Linked DNA regions of Alligator mississippiensis. The protein of the gene in region 2 interacts with the protein of the main gene of each other region in a pairwise test. Links are inferred from orthologs where the notes say so. Each region holds a gene or a part of one and is shown on either strand. Other genes may lie near its edges.

What was found.
Region 1: the proteins of AQP2 (region 2) and ERG28 interact in binary tests that used the Homo sapiens proteins (3 or more experiments, as listed by UniProt). The link is inferred for Alligator mississippiensis from reciprocal best matches to the Homo sapiens genes AQP2 and ERG28.

The regions. Positions count from the first base shown.
Region 1 is NC_081825.1:261,563,068-261,570,867, forward strand, and holds the start of ERG28 (ergosterol biosynthetic protein 28 homolog), read right to left. Parts: upstream 2,997-7,800; 5' UTR 2,925-2,996; intron 2,374-2,924; exon of another isoform or gene 2,144-2,373; 5' UTR 2,126-2,143; coding exon 1,993-2,125; intron 1,426-1,992; coding exon 1,335-1,425; intron 759-1,334; coding exon of another isoform or gene 673-758; intron 1-672. Other genes in the region: tubulin polyglutamylase TTLL5, read left to right, coding at 2,997-3,091, 7,331-7,437.
Region 2 is NC_081838.1:9,968,790-9,977,023, reverse strand, and holds the start of AQP2 (aquaporin-2), read right to left. Parts: upstream 3,202-8,234; 5' UTR 3,057-3,201; coding exon 2,694-3,056; intron 1-2,693. UniProt on the Homo sapiens protein: Forms a water-specific channel that provides the plasma membranes of renal collecting duct with high permeability to water, thereby permitting water to move in the direction of an osmotic gradient. Plays an essential role in renal water homeostasis.

The DNA.
Region 1 (7,800 bases), on a different chromosome or scaffold from region 2:
CACAGATTAGATTGAACTGATATGCAAGTGAACAGACATTTACTTTCAATTCTGGAAATTCAGCTACTTGCCTGCAGCGGCCCGGGCCAGAAGCCAGGGGGTGCTAGAGCATACCCTGCTTGGCTGGAGCAGACAGCCCACCTACTCTGGGTGGGTGGGTGCAAAATGTCTTGGGATGCTGGAAGACTATGAGTTAACTTGAAATTGGAGGGGCTGGCCAATTCCTGTATCTCATCTGAGGTTTCTACATGGGATCTGCTGCCCTCTAGGGGCCACAACTAAGATTTCCTAGGGACTCAGGAAGGAAAAAATAAAAATCCTAGAAAACAGCTGCCTAGTTTGACCTTCCCACTCTACAGTAACTGTCACTTGCCCCTGACCTTGCCCCTGCTCCTGAAACCACAGACATAACCAGCTGGCCTGACACATCTTGCACAGACACACCAGAAAGCAAACCACCAGCTCTCATCCTCTATCCCAGAAAGCTACCCTTCCAGCATGCCCCATGAATTCAAATGGAAGCCACAGTCAAAAACTCCCTGAAGCAGAGCTGTCACCACATGTGACAGGGGCTGAGCCTGGCTGTTTAACAAATATACAACTGGTAGGCTGCTTCCTCAAGCCAGAGACAAGATACTGCTGCCCCCACCTCTGAGCAATCCAATGATTTACCCAAACATACAACCAAGGACATGCCCTCTTGAGACCCAGCCAGGTGCATCATTCTACAAGCCATGTGATCCTGAATAGAGCTGCCACTGGAAAAGAAACAACATGTCTCAGTCTGGTGGTGATGGGGCTAAGCACCCTGCAAGGAGAGCATCAGAAATCTTGTATGGCTTAACAGGCTGCATCAGATCCAATAATTACCTGCCTGATCTGAGACGTGTTCAAGTGAACAGTCTCTCCCCTCACTTTTTAAAAGGAGAGGCAATTAAACACCCTGCCTATACATCCTGACTTCCTCTTTGATGCTTTAAGGAATGCCTTTAACCCAGGGGCAGCCAATTATTTTGGGCAGAGGGCCTCTTACTGAGTTTTGGCAAGCCATTGAGGCCCGCATGATAGGCAGCCAGGGGCAGATAAATATTAAATTTTCTAAATTTTTTAGGGGCCCCGTGGGCCGGACAGAATGGCCTGGTGGGCTGCATCCAGCCCCAGGCCGCATTTTGCCCACCCCTGCTTTAACCCCAAGAGCTGTCCAGTAAAGTGCTCAACTCCCTGCCTTTACTCAAGCTGCTCCACAAGAGGACAGTTAGGAGCTGTTATGGAATGGTAAGAGTGCAATGTAGGCAACAAGGGACACCCCCTCCTCTGATGTTTCCCTTGCATACGTCTTGTTGCGGATGTCTACGGCACAGGCACAACGAATCACTGATGCAAGCAGGGTCCAGATGCCAAAGGTCCGAGCCTGAAGCCCATTCACTGTGCAAAGAAGAAAAGGGAATGGATAAAGAACAAGTATTTTCCTTCCCAGGAATCAGCCTCTCCCCAGGTTGGGCCAAGCAACGCACAAGATCTCCTAGCTAGTGTCCTCACATTCAAAGCATGCAGGAGGAAGCAACGAGCTCAGAGATGATGAAAAGGCTGTTGAGTGGGTGTTTCCGGAGCTGCTATGAATCCAAGCCCCCCTCCTCTGCCAGCTAGAGACATCAAGGAGGGAAACGGGCAGAGGTGGCTTGAATGCCAAGAGGATCACCAAGGTAACAGTGCGCTGCTGCCCAGCAACACTGCTTGGCGACAGCAGCGGCCACCTTTGCAGGCCGGGCGAGTTGTACCTACTGCCCCCCCACCCAGGTGCAGGCAGTGGTCAGCAGGCCACAGAGGGGTCTGTGAGAGAAGGAATGGGGTGGGGCTGGCGCTCTCTGCAGAGGCACAGGAGGACACGAGCCAGCGGCTCCTAGAAGGACGAGCGTGGGGCTGGAGTGCCTGGGAGCCCGTGGGAGAGGCAGGCCCAGCCCCGGAGGAGAAGGGGCACCCGGGGCTGCTCACCCAGGCTGGGCGCGTCCGTGTACAGCTTCTCGGACAGAAAGCCGTGGTCACGGAAGCTCTGCAGCGTGTTCCCCAGCGCCACGATGGACACCATCACCAGCCAGCTGCGCAGCACGTTCAGAAAGCGGCTCATCCCTGTGCCCGCGGCCGCCTGCTCGGGGACACGGCAGAGGTCGAAGCTCAGCGCCACTTGGAGCCTGTTCTCCTCTTCGCCCCGCACGCCGGAGCTGCCCAGGGCTGCGGCGGGCAGGGAGACCACGCGGGGCCGCCCAGCAGCTCCAGGCCAGGGCAGCGCCGGCTAATGCCGCGCTGAGCCCGTGAGGCCAGGCCCTGGCGGCGCGGCGCGGCACGGCACGGCACGGCCCAGCCCGCCCGCTGCCCTCGCACCTGCTCCGGGCCCCACCGCACCTGCCACTCTTTGCTCCTCGCCCCCCGGGCCCCTGCTTCTTGATTGGCTCCTGCCCCTTTTCTGATTGGCTTCGCGGGCTCGCCTCAACTCACACGCCAGCGCCCTGTCCCAATCAAATGCAGCAACGCAAGGGGCCCCACCCCTCACGCTCGGTGACGTCAGGGGCGGTGTCCTCCCCTCCCCTCCCCTCCCTGTGCTCCGGCCGTGTCTCGCCGCCATCTTGGAAGAGGCGGAAGCGCCAGTTTCGCGCGCGCGCTCAGCAGAGGGCGTGGAACAGCACTGTTTCCGCCTGCGCGGCAGGAGCCAATGAGGGCGTCGCGCTCGCGTCTGCGCAGTAGCTGGTGGAGGGAAAGGGGGGGAGCGGTTGCCTGTTGGTTGTTGTAGTAACTGGGGAAGCGCTGGCCGGAGTCGCGTCCTCCGAGACCGCCCCGCCGCGCGCGGGGACATGAGGCAGCAGGTGTGGGCCCGCGGGGCGGGGGCGGCCCACTCGCGCGCGCGCCCCCCCCGGCTCCGCCCCGCTTACCTAGCTCCGTGCCCGCAGGTGGCCGCCGGGGGCAGCGCGCCGACGGGGGCCGCATGAGCGCGGCCGCAGGAGATGCCCGCGGGGATGGCGCGCGACCTGGAAGAGACCGGCTCGTCCTCGTCCTCCTCCAAGGAGGAGGAGGCGGCGGCGGCGGCGGCGGCGCCGGAGTAAGTAGCTCCGGGCTCCCGCAGCAGATCCTGGGCGGGGTCCCTCTCTCCCGGAGCGGGAGGGTCTCGGAGCCCGGCCCGCCCTGTGTTCCCTCCCTCTCGCGCTTCTGCCCGGGTTCAGGCTCGCTGCACGCTCCCCGTGTCCCCCCGCTGCCAGTCCTGCTCAGTGGCACTTGCTCGGGTCCTTACCTGCCCCCCCGGCTGCGCTCTCCCGTCCTCCGCCCATGTCTGGATGACCGGGATGGGGGCGGGGAGCAGCGATGCTTCTGCTCAGCTCCAGTACCTCCTCAGCCCCTTTGCCTCAGCGGTCTCCTTTCCGAGGTGCTGCTCCTGTTTCTGCACTGACAGTGGGTTTGTTTCCTCTGCTCAGGCCACGCTCTAGCTCCTCATGTCTGTGACCTCCAGAGTCTCAAGGAGACACAGCCCCCACAAGCAGACCCAGCAAAGACTCCCTTGGAGTTGCTTGTTCTCATATGTGCCAGTCTAGGACTAGAAGGGCCCAGGGCTGCCCCCTTTAGCCTGGCTGTGTCTGGGCACATTGCACCTTGCAACCAAAGGTCATTCTGGACATGAGTGACAGTTGCCAGAAGGATTGTATGAGTCCTGCTGGCCTTGCTGCAAATCCCTCAGGGCAGGCTTAACCCAAAGCCCCTTCCTGCTGCCTCGGCTCATTTCCCACTTACATAAGGTCCTAGTCTGTGTTTTAGGCACTGGAATCACTTGGGGTTTGGTGTGGCTGCACCAGCCGCGTGGCCTTAGGTGACTAGTTGAACTATACCTGAGGCCAGGACTTTAGGAGTGTGCTGGGAGGATTGTGGGGGCAGTAGGGACTGCTGTGGAGTGGATTTGGTGCAGGGGCAAAGGGAAGGATAGCTTTTCTTTAGCAACAGGAGCTATTTCCTTGCATCTTCAGTAGTTACATGTGGGAAAAAATGCTCTCCCATAGCGTGCCCCAAGGGGAAGATTTTCCTTATTAGCCCTGGTCCCAGGAATGTGCCCTATACAAGTACTTTCTTGTCTACTCCTGCCCAGACATGCAAAGGTGGAGTCTTCACAGGTGCCTCTCTGTAAGTTGTTGTACTAGGTGTAGAAAAGCATATTACTAGAATACATTTTTAAGTGTTTATTGCAGGTATTTATTGCAGCATCAACCCATCTTTGGCCATAGTCTGCCACGAAACCCATGACTCCCCTTCACCTGATCAAAGGTGACAAAAGATTAAGAAGCGGGGATGGAAGGAGGTGCAGGCTGTAGGGTCAAAACATCTGGGCGAGAGCACTGAGCAACTTCCAGAGGTGTCTGTGCCACTTCTGCACCAAGTGTGGGAGAACTGCTGCAAAGTCATTCCTGGTCAGTGTGGGCCAAGCCCCAGGAATTAGACACTGTAGCCAGTTTAGTGTGGTTTTCAGAGGTTCTGGGAGCACATTTAGGCTTTCTCTCTTAGGCATGCTATTGGTACAAGTTCAGGTATGTATGAAACTGGCTACACAGCCTCAGTTCTGGGCTGTTGGCCGGGGTTGGGGAGGGCAGAGAACTGCATTGAAGCTGCTAAATTCTTTCATGTTGGTTGAATGGAACGAGGAGGTTTGCTATCTATTTGGTCTGGATTTGAAGTGGCAATTTGAGTTGAGAAGCCTCATTCCCATCCCATTTTGCTGAACTTGAAGGACTTAAAGGAACTGAAGGTAAATGTTTCCAGTACCTATTAGGTGAGGCTCCTGAGCAAATGGTAGTGCTTGTGCTAGAGCACTAATACGAACTTGAAATATACTCTTCCCCCAACCTAATGAATTACAGCCTGGTACAGCAGCCTAGAGAACTCCAGCCAGCATCTGCTGCAACCTTGTCAGCTTAAACTCTTGGTTCTAGCCTTGTATGCTGGAGCTGTTAGTAAGAGAAAAAACCAGGGAACATTTCTTTAGCAAAATTCTGGAGAAGCTTCAGGAAAGAACTCTGCTTGCTCATCCTCTGTGTACATCTGTCTCTTTCTTTTGATTGACCCATGTAGATTTAGAGAAGTTCCCCCCTGCTTTGGTTTTTGCTTTTGTCATTCTCCTCATGCTTCCATTTCTCTGAGCAGTAAGTAATAAAAACTCTGAGCTTTGCTTGCTTAAAGCAACAGGTTTGTTGTCTGTGGTCTCAAAGTTTTAAGCAGTGGATTCTAATAGGGATGTGTGAAATTTCACCAAGTGTTTCGTTTTGATGCGTTTTGAGCTCGAAACAGCAAAATCAAAATGAAACAAAAAGCTTTGAAATGAAATGAGGGGACTTGAAACATTTTGAAACTTTCAAAACATTTTGAGTTTTGAAGCAGCCTGGTGGTGGGAGGCAGGGGAGAGCCAGGGATGTGCTCTGAGTGGCTCTGCAGCACCATAGAGCTCAGCCCGATGGAGAGTGCAGTCCTGGCTTTCCCTCCCTGCCTTTCGCCGCTGGGCTGAGTTCTGTAGGGCTGGCGGAGCTGGTCAGAGCACAGCCCTGGCTATCCCTGCCTCTTGCCACCAGGTTGCGCTCCAAGTGGCTCCGCAGCCCCATGGAGCTCAGCTGGGTGATGGGATGCGGAGCGCAGCCCTGGCTCTGCCCACCTTCCGCCATGGGGTTGAGCTCCAATGGGGCCGTGGAGCCCCACGGAACTCAGCCTGGCAGCGGGAGGTGGAGTGCAGCCCTGGCTCTCCCCACCTCCTGCAGCCGGGCTGCGCTTCGAGTGGCTCTGCAGCCCCATGGAGCTCAGCCCGGTGGTGGGAGCTGAAGTACAGCCCTGGCTCTCCCCACATCCTGGTTGCGCTCCAAGCAGCTCCACAATCCCATGGAGCTTAGCCCAATGATGGGAGGTGGGAGAGTTTTATGAGGTTTAGAAAGCTTCCAATTAGGGTACCCTTGAGTTTCTCTATGCACGTGCATTTTGTGCGAATACACTTATATGCTATGACTTTATCTATAAAAGAAACTTGCTTTGTGTGAGAGAAATTCAATTGTATGTGAAGGAGCATGCAACGTGGCTATGCAGTGATGTGAGTGAAGCATTGTGGGAGGGTACGTGAGGCAGGTATGCAACGCCATCATGCACTTGCCTGTCTCGCATCGTCCATTGTTCCATGCAGTACTATGCTACTTGCACTCATATTGTGGTGCATCTATTTGCTGTTATTATTGAATTTGGTGAAATGTCATCTAAGTGACCTTCTAGTGTATCTCCTAACCCCCCTCCTGAGTTAGCCATGAAGCGAAAAAGGAGGCTGTTACATATGCCTTTTAACTGCATGTAATATTGGATTTGCTTTATGCAAGGTTTTTTTGGACTGCAACCCTTGCATAAAGAGAGACCTGAGTGTATTCATCTTTTGCTTTTTTTCCCCCTTGCTAAGCTGAAAGTCAAGAGTATTTTTTTTGTGCAGAAACTAAAAGAAAATCCTAAACATTCCTTAAATGCCCCGAGAGCAGAAGCGGGACTCTGACATGCAGCTGAAATGAAGAGTGTATAGTGTGCACACAAACTGTGTAGAGCTGGATTAAGTTGAATAGATTGGAGCCATTCTTTTTAACAGACTCATGTTCAAAGTGTGCAGTGCTTTGATCTAGATGCATCATTGCATTCTGGGACCTGCAGCTGCCACAGGTTCTGGGCTGCATGTTGTTTTGGAATATACCTATTGTATAGGTTGATGTGTGGTTTTTATTTTTGTTTTTTGTGGTTTTTTGTGGTTAGATTCTGAACCTGCACTGCCTGCTTGAAGGCTGCCACACTTACTTCAGAGTCCAAGGGTTAAACCATATTCCAGTGCACTGATATATAATCCTTAAACTGGGGAGTGGCACTGTGTTTTCTGGGGGTTGCTTAGGGTGAGAGTGTGTTTCCTGGGACTAGGACTATATATTCTCCTGTCCTTAATCTTGAATGATCTCAGGATGTGAAAGTTGTTAACACCTGTAGCATTGAAACTTCAGGGGTCCTCTCAAGAGTCATGCTGTTTGCTTGACCATTTAAATCAATACAGATCAGATGGAATCCCCAGTTGAATGGTCTGCTTAGTACAAAGGGAAGATGATTTTGAAGGTACCATACATAGCTGAGTACTTTTAAAATAGCCCACAGGTACATCCAACCTGAAGTCTAATATGCAAGCCTAGAATTGAATAGCTTGATGTGAGGAGGTAGCTGGGATATTTCTGGAGTGTGTAACCCACTGTGTGCGCATGAAGCTTGACTTCTTTTTTGTGTTAATCATCTCTTGCTATTACAGGGAACACCCATGCATCATGTGGACTGGTGGCTGCAGGCGGATCCCCATCTTAGTGTTTCATGCAGAAGCTATTCTGACCAATGAGAGCTACCTCCGTCTGATTGGAGGTGGGTCTGATCACCACCCTATGCTTACTCAATGCCTGCTGCTGGGAGCAGTGGGGCATTCTTCAGGCAAAAGGTTTCCTCCTCTCTGACAGCAAAAAGAAGCACTACTGAAAGGGATACTTTGGTATTGTTGGTAGAACTTTTTTTGTGCACTCTAGCATTGGAGCCATGCACCTTGTTTGTGTTGTGGAGCACAACTGTTCTTATCTTTAGGAAGAGACCTCCTCTGTTTTGGATCAGAACCAGCAGCCTGTAATCTCTTCATTGGGCTGTGTTCATGTTAAATTGAGGCAGAAATTTTGTAGCCAACAAATTAAAACCAAATATACATCCAATCTAGTTTTCTTGGTTCCCATGAGAAAT
Region 2 (8,234 bases):
CAGAGGTTATTCTCCAGCAGATTGGACAAAGTTAACCCAGTTTAAGTGCTTGTGTCATCCTTCTCCTACTCGTTTACACCAGTGTAAGTCTGCTTACATCAGCATCGACAGTGCATTTATCTGCATCCTTTGTGTTTGAGAAAAAAAGAAATCAGGTCTTTGGAAATCCCACTTTTATTTTGTCGTCATGTGAAAAAATCACCAATTCTCTCTTTCATAAACTGGGACACATGCATTGCACCTCGAGTGGAGGCTTTCCAGTAAAGATTTCCAGCAATTGCTTCCCAGATTAAACTGAATCTGACCTTGCTTTGAGATAACAACCCTGTTGCAGAGCTTGATTTTTTTCTCTTTTAATCCCATAGAACCAGCAGCACCACTGGATATGGCTGGTTAAGTCAGTAATTTGTGGTGCCAGTGGTGCTTTGAGTCATGCTCGAGATGTTATCTAGGTGCTGCTTTCCCTGCTGGAGCCTGAGATGTACCTTTTTGAACACCGAGGGTTTATGCAGATGTTCTTGCAACCACTTCACCTCTTTATCTGCCAAGAAAGCTGATCTCAGCCATGCTTGTGGAGATCCCAAGGCTTTCATAATTTCATAGTTGTTAGGGCTTGGAAGGGAAGTACTGCTTAGTGCAGTAATTCTGGATTAATACCAATGGAAATGAGTCTGGGTCTATAATAGACTTTTTACCAACTGTTAGTCAGGAGGTATAATGCCCCCCAAATAATTATATTGGTAACTCCCTTACTGAGAATGCAAGTTTATTGGTGTAAAGATTCAGCAAGGATTGGGAAGAGCTGGCTTCCCAGAGCTCACCGGTGTGTCTGCTGTACAAGCCTTAGCCGTAAGCATCCTGATCTGGCTGACTTCTAAGGATACAGCCCAGTGAGCACCAATGTAGCACTCACAAGCAATTAAAAGGGGATGTTAGCTCTATTTCTGTGAATTAAACAATTTAGGGATGCTAAAAGCTTTCAAGCATTAGTGACCTGGATTCAATTCAAATAGCTAGATCTCTGCAAAGATACAAGGTCTGCTTCTACTTGCCCTGAACCTTGTGCAATCCTTGCCATTCTGTGAAAGAGTATAAAGGTTTCACTGACTCAGACGGTGGAGCCAGCTAATGCAAACTAAACCCAGCGGGCCAAGCGTCTTCTACTGCGGCCCCTTTACACCACTCTAGCAACCTAAAGGGGACATAAAGTGGTTACAAAGGTAGTTGCCTCTCACTTTAAAGTCCCTTTGCTGTCAGAGGGAGGGTTATAGGGGGTGCTGAGTATAAAAGGAGGATCTGGCTTCATGGCATCTGGCCTTGGACATCTTTCTACCTGTGTAAACGGTTCCACAAGGGAGATGGCAAAAGAGATTTTTAAAAAAAATTGAATTTGTATCTGAGGCCAAATTAGGCAAAACTAATTCTAAATCCAAGTGTTGAACAACCTGGAGTCAAGAGACTCGAGGGAGGGGGGGAGGGAGGCTGCCATGTTAATGGTAGTTCAGCGGGACATCCTCATCCCAACTCCTTGGGTTCCCTGATTTTCATGCCTCTAAGTCAAAGCTTTCAGGATTGCCTCCCTATTCACTCCTGTGGTTTTGTTGTTGCACCATGTCTGATCCCAGAGTCCAGTCTTAGTAATGGGAGGGAAGCTAACTGATGGCATTGCCAGGGCAGACATGGCCATTGGGTACTGTGAGAAACTAGAACAGGACAAAGTAAGTGGGGATTATCTGATGAGAAGCACCGATTACATTAAAAACAAAACCCAAAAAACCTGCCCTGCTAGCCCTGGTGCCAAGGAGCCTGGCATGGCACCAGCAGCCTGAAAACACTGGCAGAACATCACATGGTGGAGAGGCATGTTTCCACACCAAAGCTGCACACACACAGATGGCTGAGGCTGGAGGAGGGGAGTCCACAGAAGTCAGGATGTTCCCAGGGTTACATTAAGCCAGCCGTTCTAGGAATGGCCACGTGTGTCACTGACAATCAGAAAGTGGCATTTTATAGGTGTCAGTTCCCTGGGCCGTGGTTGGTGGCACTGTCCTAGTGATCAGAGTAAGGGGGGACAGGGGGACAGGGCTTATGGGGGGCTGTTCCCATGTTTTCTCTGAAAGCAAACGGAGCCAGATCATGTGCCAGCTATTAGCTGCCTCGGTGTGATCTTATTCCACCCTGCTTGAGTCCCTGAAAAACAGGCCTTGCGAAACATGGGTGGATCCTCCTATTCCTCGTTGCTTCGTGTGATGTAACGTGATGGTGCGTTACAAAACTAGGCACTTTGATGTTCTTGTCAGGGGATGAGCCAGGTACAATATAGGACTGCATTCAGGTGCCTAATTGCTGGAGGAGGATTTGGCCCATGGTGTATGAATGGAGCACAGCACTGGGTGGCAGGACTGATTTCTAATCCTAGCACTAGGAGGGAGTACGGCTGAGCAAGGAGAACTTCAAGCCGGGACTCCTGGGTTTTGTTCCCCTTGCTAGACGGGAGTGGGGTCTTGCAGCTTGAGCACAGGGCAGGGTGGCAGGACACATGGGCTCTAATCCCCACCGCCAGGACTCCTGTATTCTGCTTGCAGCTATCTATGTCCTCCCTTTGCCTCTCCCATCTTCCCTAAGCCCCCAACCCCGACCCCCCCTTCCTGTACCCCTGAAAGGTCCCACGCTGGCACTGGCACGGTCCTTACCTTGTTGATGGCCAGGTTTCCTCGGATGGCTGGAGGGGTGATCTCGTGCAAGATAGCTGCCCCAGCAACCCCTCCCAGGATCTGGGCCACCACGTAGAAGACAGCCCTGAGGAAGGAGATGTGCGAGCCGACGAGGCAAGCAACCGTCACGGCTGGGTTGATGTGGGCCCCGCTGACGTGCCCCAGGGTCTGGACCAGCGTGGCGATAGCCAAGCCGAAAGCCAGCGAGATTTGCAGGATGGTTGGGAGAGACAAGGGCCAGCTGAGGGCAGAGCCCAGGCCGAAGAATATAAAGAGTAGGGTGGCTATGAACTCGGCAAAGACGGCGCGGGTGAAGGCTACGGAGCGGAGTTCCCACATCATGAGGCGACCAGTGCTGGGGCTCAGAAGACCTACTCTACCAGCTGCTTCTCTTGGCAGCGATCCCTGCTCCTGTGGCTGCTCCCTGCAAGGATGCTAGGGTGCCAGATAGATGTATATATATGCTGAAAATCCAGGGATCTCCTGCTGACAGAGGTGGGGCCCAGGGCTTAGGAAACCTGATGCTTTATCGTCCTTGTTCCAGTTGACGAGGCTTCAGACCCTGCCCCCTCTATTAAGTGGGGAATGTGGCATGTGCCAGCCTCGGGAGCCCATACATTAACTTGGAGATGTCCGATAAAGCGCTGGTCTGAGCTGCAACTTCCCCTTTCCTCAATGCCATTTTAAAAGGTCCCTAATCTTCGGTCATTTTTTTTTCTCCTCTCCCTCCATCCCACCATCATTGCAACAGGGAGAGGATAGTAAGTCAGTGAGGCTCTGGGGATTGATCTGAGTCAGAAATCTGTATTTGCTCAACCTGAAACTGCAGGACTTTGTCTGTCCATCTGTCTTGTCTGGCATCCAGCTGGAGCGGACTTTGGGGTCCTGATGTCTTGGGTAAAACCTTCAGGCCCAGCTCTGACCATGACATGAAATAGCTATAGCTGTTTTAAATTTTGGAGGCAGGGGTTGAATTCTTCACCTCTGTACTTCTAGAGGGTTTTTTTTTCCCCTTGAATCCTGTATTCGAATACAAGTAGAATGGATCATAGCAGGCATTCGTGTATCAAATAGACTAATAGCTGTATGAATAGTTAGGCATGGCTTCTGGTCTCTTCTCAGGAGAGAGAGAGAGAGATTTAGATGGTTGCAAAGCCTGCAGCAGGCAGGGCTTGCTGTTGGATAAAATGGGGTGGGGGCACTGAATCCAGGGTCTTAACAGGACTGTGAGCGCATGAGCCCAGGAGTGCAGAGGCCAGGAAGCCTGCAAGTCAGAAATGCAAGGTGCATTGGTAGTGCTCTGTGGAATCGAGCCCAGGATTGGAATAAGAGGCAGGGGCACATCTACACATGCAATTATTTGACACAATAAACGTCAGTGCAGCGTTCACGTGTTTATACGTGTGCCCGGGACTGCTGCATGTTGAGCCGGGGTGGCACAGCGCTGGCTGGCAGGGAGCCTGGGGGTCAGCGGCTCCACCCCACCTCAACGTGCTGCAAAGGACGTGGCTGGGGCACGAGGTTGCTCAAGTGTGGGGCTAGCCAATAGGCAGCCCTGCACTTGTAGTATCCTCGTGCCCCAGCCGGTCCTGGTCACTGTTTACACGTGCGCCGCGGTGAAGTCAATAAGTCTGCCATAGAATAGCACTTGTGTTGGGCAGTACTATCCTATGGCAGAGTGAATTAGTTTCCTCTGGCCTAATAGCACTGCTTGTGTAGACAGTGATGTTTTACTGCAGAGCTAATTAGGCAGCTCCACAGTAAGTGTAGATGCACCCAGGGGCATGCACTGTGGGTGGGATGTGGGAGACCAGCATTAGGATACGATAGAGCTGTAGATTAGGACTGAATTGCATGAGCATGGATCCTTTTGCCTATAGCACCGGAAGAGAGCTGGAATTAGAGTGAATTGCTCCAGACCCATCACTGTGCCGGCCTGAAGAGTGCTGCAGAGAGAGAGATCCCTATGAACTCACTGGGGCTTGATCCAGCAGGTCACCATAGTATATCTAGACAAGGAAGCTCTGTCCCAGATTGCCCCTTGGCGTAGTGGATCAAATGTACCAAGGAGAAGCAGGAACCAAGCAATGTTCCTGCTTCTCCCAGTGGTCAGTGCTAGAGGGTCTGCTGTTTCATAATTTCATAGATGTTAGGGCCTGCAAGGGACCTGACAGATCATCCGGTCCAGCCCCCCTGCACTTGTGCGATTATTTTTCCTGGGCTGCCTCCATTTGACTTTTTGATCCCCAGCAAGTGGTGCCACAAAAATGTCTTGCTGTAGCTCCAAAGGCATGAGTCAAAACTGTGCTTGTGCCAAAGGTTGCTTGTGCCATCTGAGCTGAAAATGGGAGCCAGGTCATTTGGGCTGGAGAGTGCAAGGTGGTCAGAGTTGGTGCTAGACACTTTGCTCCATTGTATGCTGCGGGCTACGCAAATCAGCATGCTTTAGTCATGAGAGGCACAGGCAGACCCTCTGCCTCTTTGAATATGTCTTCAAGGACAGGTGATCCCATCGTCTCTGGAGTTTTAAACCTTCCTGCTGTAGGCAGTCACAGGTGACTGGACCCATGCTGCGGCTATCAGAGATTCCTCTAAACTGTTTGAATCTCTTGGGTCTGGAGGAATAGTATGGAAATATCACATGGATAACCTTTCCCAGGAGTCTCCTCGCACTTCAAGCTGATGGCTCAGCCAGAGGTACTTTAAAAAAAGGCTCTCCTTCCCTGAAACACAAAAGAAAAAGAAAATTCAGCAAAAAATTGTGGGCCAGTTTGGCTACAGACCCGCGTTTCCTCTTCTGCGGCTCACTGACAACGTACTGGGCCATGTGGTGATGAAACTGGTATGATTTGTCATGTCGACAGATGCGTTTGGAATGACTTGATTTGTGGGAAACATTGATTTCATATGAATCATTTTTCATGATCAGGTTTCTAAAATTGCAAGGAGACAGAAGGAAGATCTGAGAAGAAATACAGCCTGGGCTGGTTTCAAGGTGAGATGGTTGGTAATGCCTTAAGGTGGAATCACTGGAGTGGAGTCCAAAGATGTAAGCTGAATGCTTAACTCTTCAGCTGTTTTCCTGGTTGTTCGTTGATGGACAGGGACAGTAATACTGACCTACCTGAAGGCTCATGAGGATGCATTAATTAACACTTATGAGATGCTCGGATCATACAACAGGAGGTAGAGGAAGAACAGACTTTGGGGTAGAGGCCTGCCATGAATGCTGGGAAACCTGGTTCAATTTCCTTCTCTGCTACAGACTTCCTATGTGACCTTGGGCCAGTCATGTAGTCTCCCTTAGCCCTGATGTTGGAGTCTATAAAATGGGAGTAATAGCAGCACCATACTTCACTGACTATAGGGAGGCTAGATATAGCAAAGTATGCAAGGTATTGGATGTTACAGTGATGGGGGGACCACATGAGTACATAGACAGACACGGACAAGGCAGGTTCCTAGAGACTTCCTGTACTTCTAAGAACTTAGCATTACTCAGGAAATGCTAATCTGGGATGTTGCTAAGAATGAATGTGATATTATTAAACTCAGCAATTACACAGAATCAGTAGCCAGTGTGATTAATCACTATTACTAGATAGCCAAAGGTAACACTAGTCAAGAAGAACTCATTAAGCAAAAGTGAGACAGGATTACAGATTGTAGAAGGGGTGGGGAGGGTGAAACTGAGAAACAGAGAAGGAAACTTCCCCAAAGTTATTTGGTTTTGATCCCTTTTCACCAGGTCTACTGGCCTCCCCATCCTACACTGCCTGCCTTGCATTTGAGAGCTGGGGGGATGTTAAATCCTTGTCTGGAGGTCATGGAGATAGTACTGGAGGCTACAGTACACACTGCATGGCCCTGTAGTTGGTACCAGGAAAGGTAAAACCATCTGCAGTTCAGAACAAGGTTGTCCCACTGCACCGGGGTGGGCAAAATATGGCCCCCGGGCCAGATCTGGTCTGCAGAGGGACTTTGTCTGGTCTGCAGTGGGTTTCTCAGTCTCGCCTGGCCCAGGCACCAACCAGCCCATTGACAAGTCCCACCACCCCTGGGCGTGCAGCGGGGCTGGGTTGGCTCTGTGGCTGGACTTCATTTTCCGGCAGCCCTGATAGCAGCAGCTCCTTCTGGCTGCCCCCACCAGCCCCAGCCCCACGGAAACCGGCTTGGACCTATGCGGGCAGGACCCAAGCCCCGGGCTGAGCACACAGCCCCAGCGCTGGCCCCGGCCCACCCCACCCCATGCGGGGAGTCAGGGTCCGTACAGCGCCCACTCCAGACCTGCCCGCCCTGGCCATGACAAGAGGGGGTGGCGGTGGGCACTGGGCAGAAGCTGCTGTTGGGTGCAGGTGAAAAGCGGGACCTGGCAGTGGGCAGTGGCTGGAAAGAGGCATAGGACAGCCCCAGCGTGGGCTCCGAGTGGCAGCAGCAAGAAGGGCCCAGCAGCAGCGATGGGGCAGCGGTTGCACCCGCTGCCAGGTTCTGCTTTTTCGCCGCGCTCAGGAGCAGCTTCTGCCGGCCATCACTGCTCATTGTGGCTGGGGCAGGTGGGTCCAGAGCAGGTGCTCCAGGGACCCATCAGCTTCTTCCTGGATGATACCATTGCCTCCATGCCTAGCTCATTGCCACCGAAGCCCCCTGCTCAGGGTAGAAGGACAGCTTGGAAGTGGCGCTGAACTCTCTCCAATTTGTCCACATCCTTTCTGTAGTGGGGGGCCCACAACTGGACACAGGACTCCAGATGTGGCCTCACCAGTGCTGAATAGAGGGAAATAATCACTTCCCTTGATCTGCTGGCAGTGCTTCTACCAGTGCAGCCCAGGATGCCATTAGCCTTCTTGGCAAAAAGGGCACACTGCTGGATCATATTCAACTTCTTGTCCACTGTGACCCCCAGGTGCTTTTCTGCAGAGCTGCTGCCCACCCAGTCAGCCCCCAGCCTGCACCGGTGCATGGGATTGTTCTGTCCTAAGTGCAAGACTTATCGCTTGTCCTTGTTGAACCTTGTGAGATTTCTTTTGGCCCAATCCTCCAATGTATCTAGGTCACTCTGAATCTTAGCCCTATCTGCTAGCATATCTATTACTCCGCCCAGCTTGGTGTCATCACAAACTTCTTTAGGATGCATTGTCCAGATTGTTAATGAAGATATTGAACAAAAGTGGCCCCAGGGACACTCCGTTTGATAACTGGCTGCCAGCTAGACATTGAGCCATTGATTACTACCCGCTGAGCCCAACGATCCAGCCAAGTTTTTTTCTACCTTACAGTCTGTTCATCCAACCCATACTTCCTCAGCTTGCTGGCAAGAATGCTATCAAATGCCTTACTAAAGGCAAAGTGGCCTAATCTTCAGTAAAGCTTACTGTGGCCTCATAGCATTGCATGTGTAGATGATGACACTTTACTCTGCAGCTAATTAGTCTACTCCACAGGTAAGTGCATGTATAGATATGGCCCCTGTGTAGTTAAGAGACCAGTATACCTTTGGACTACTGGGCAGGCATTAGACCG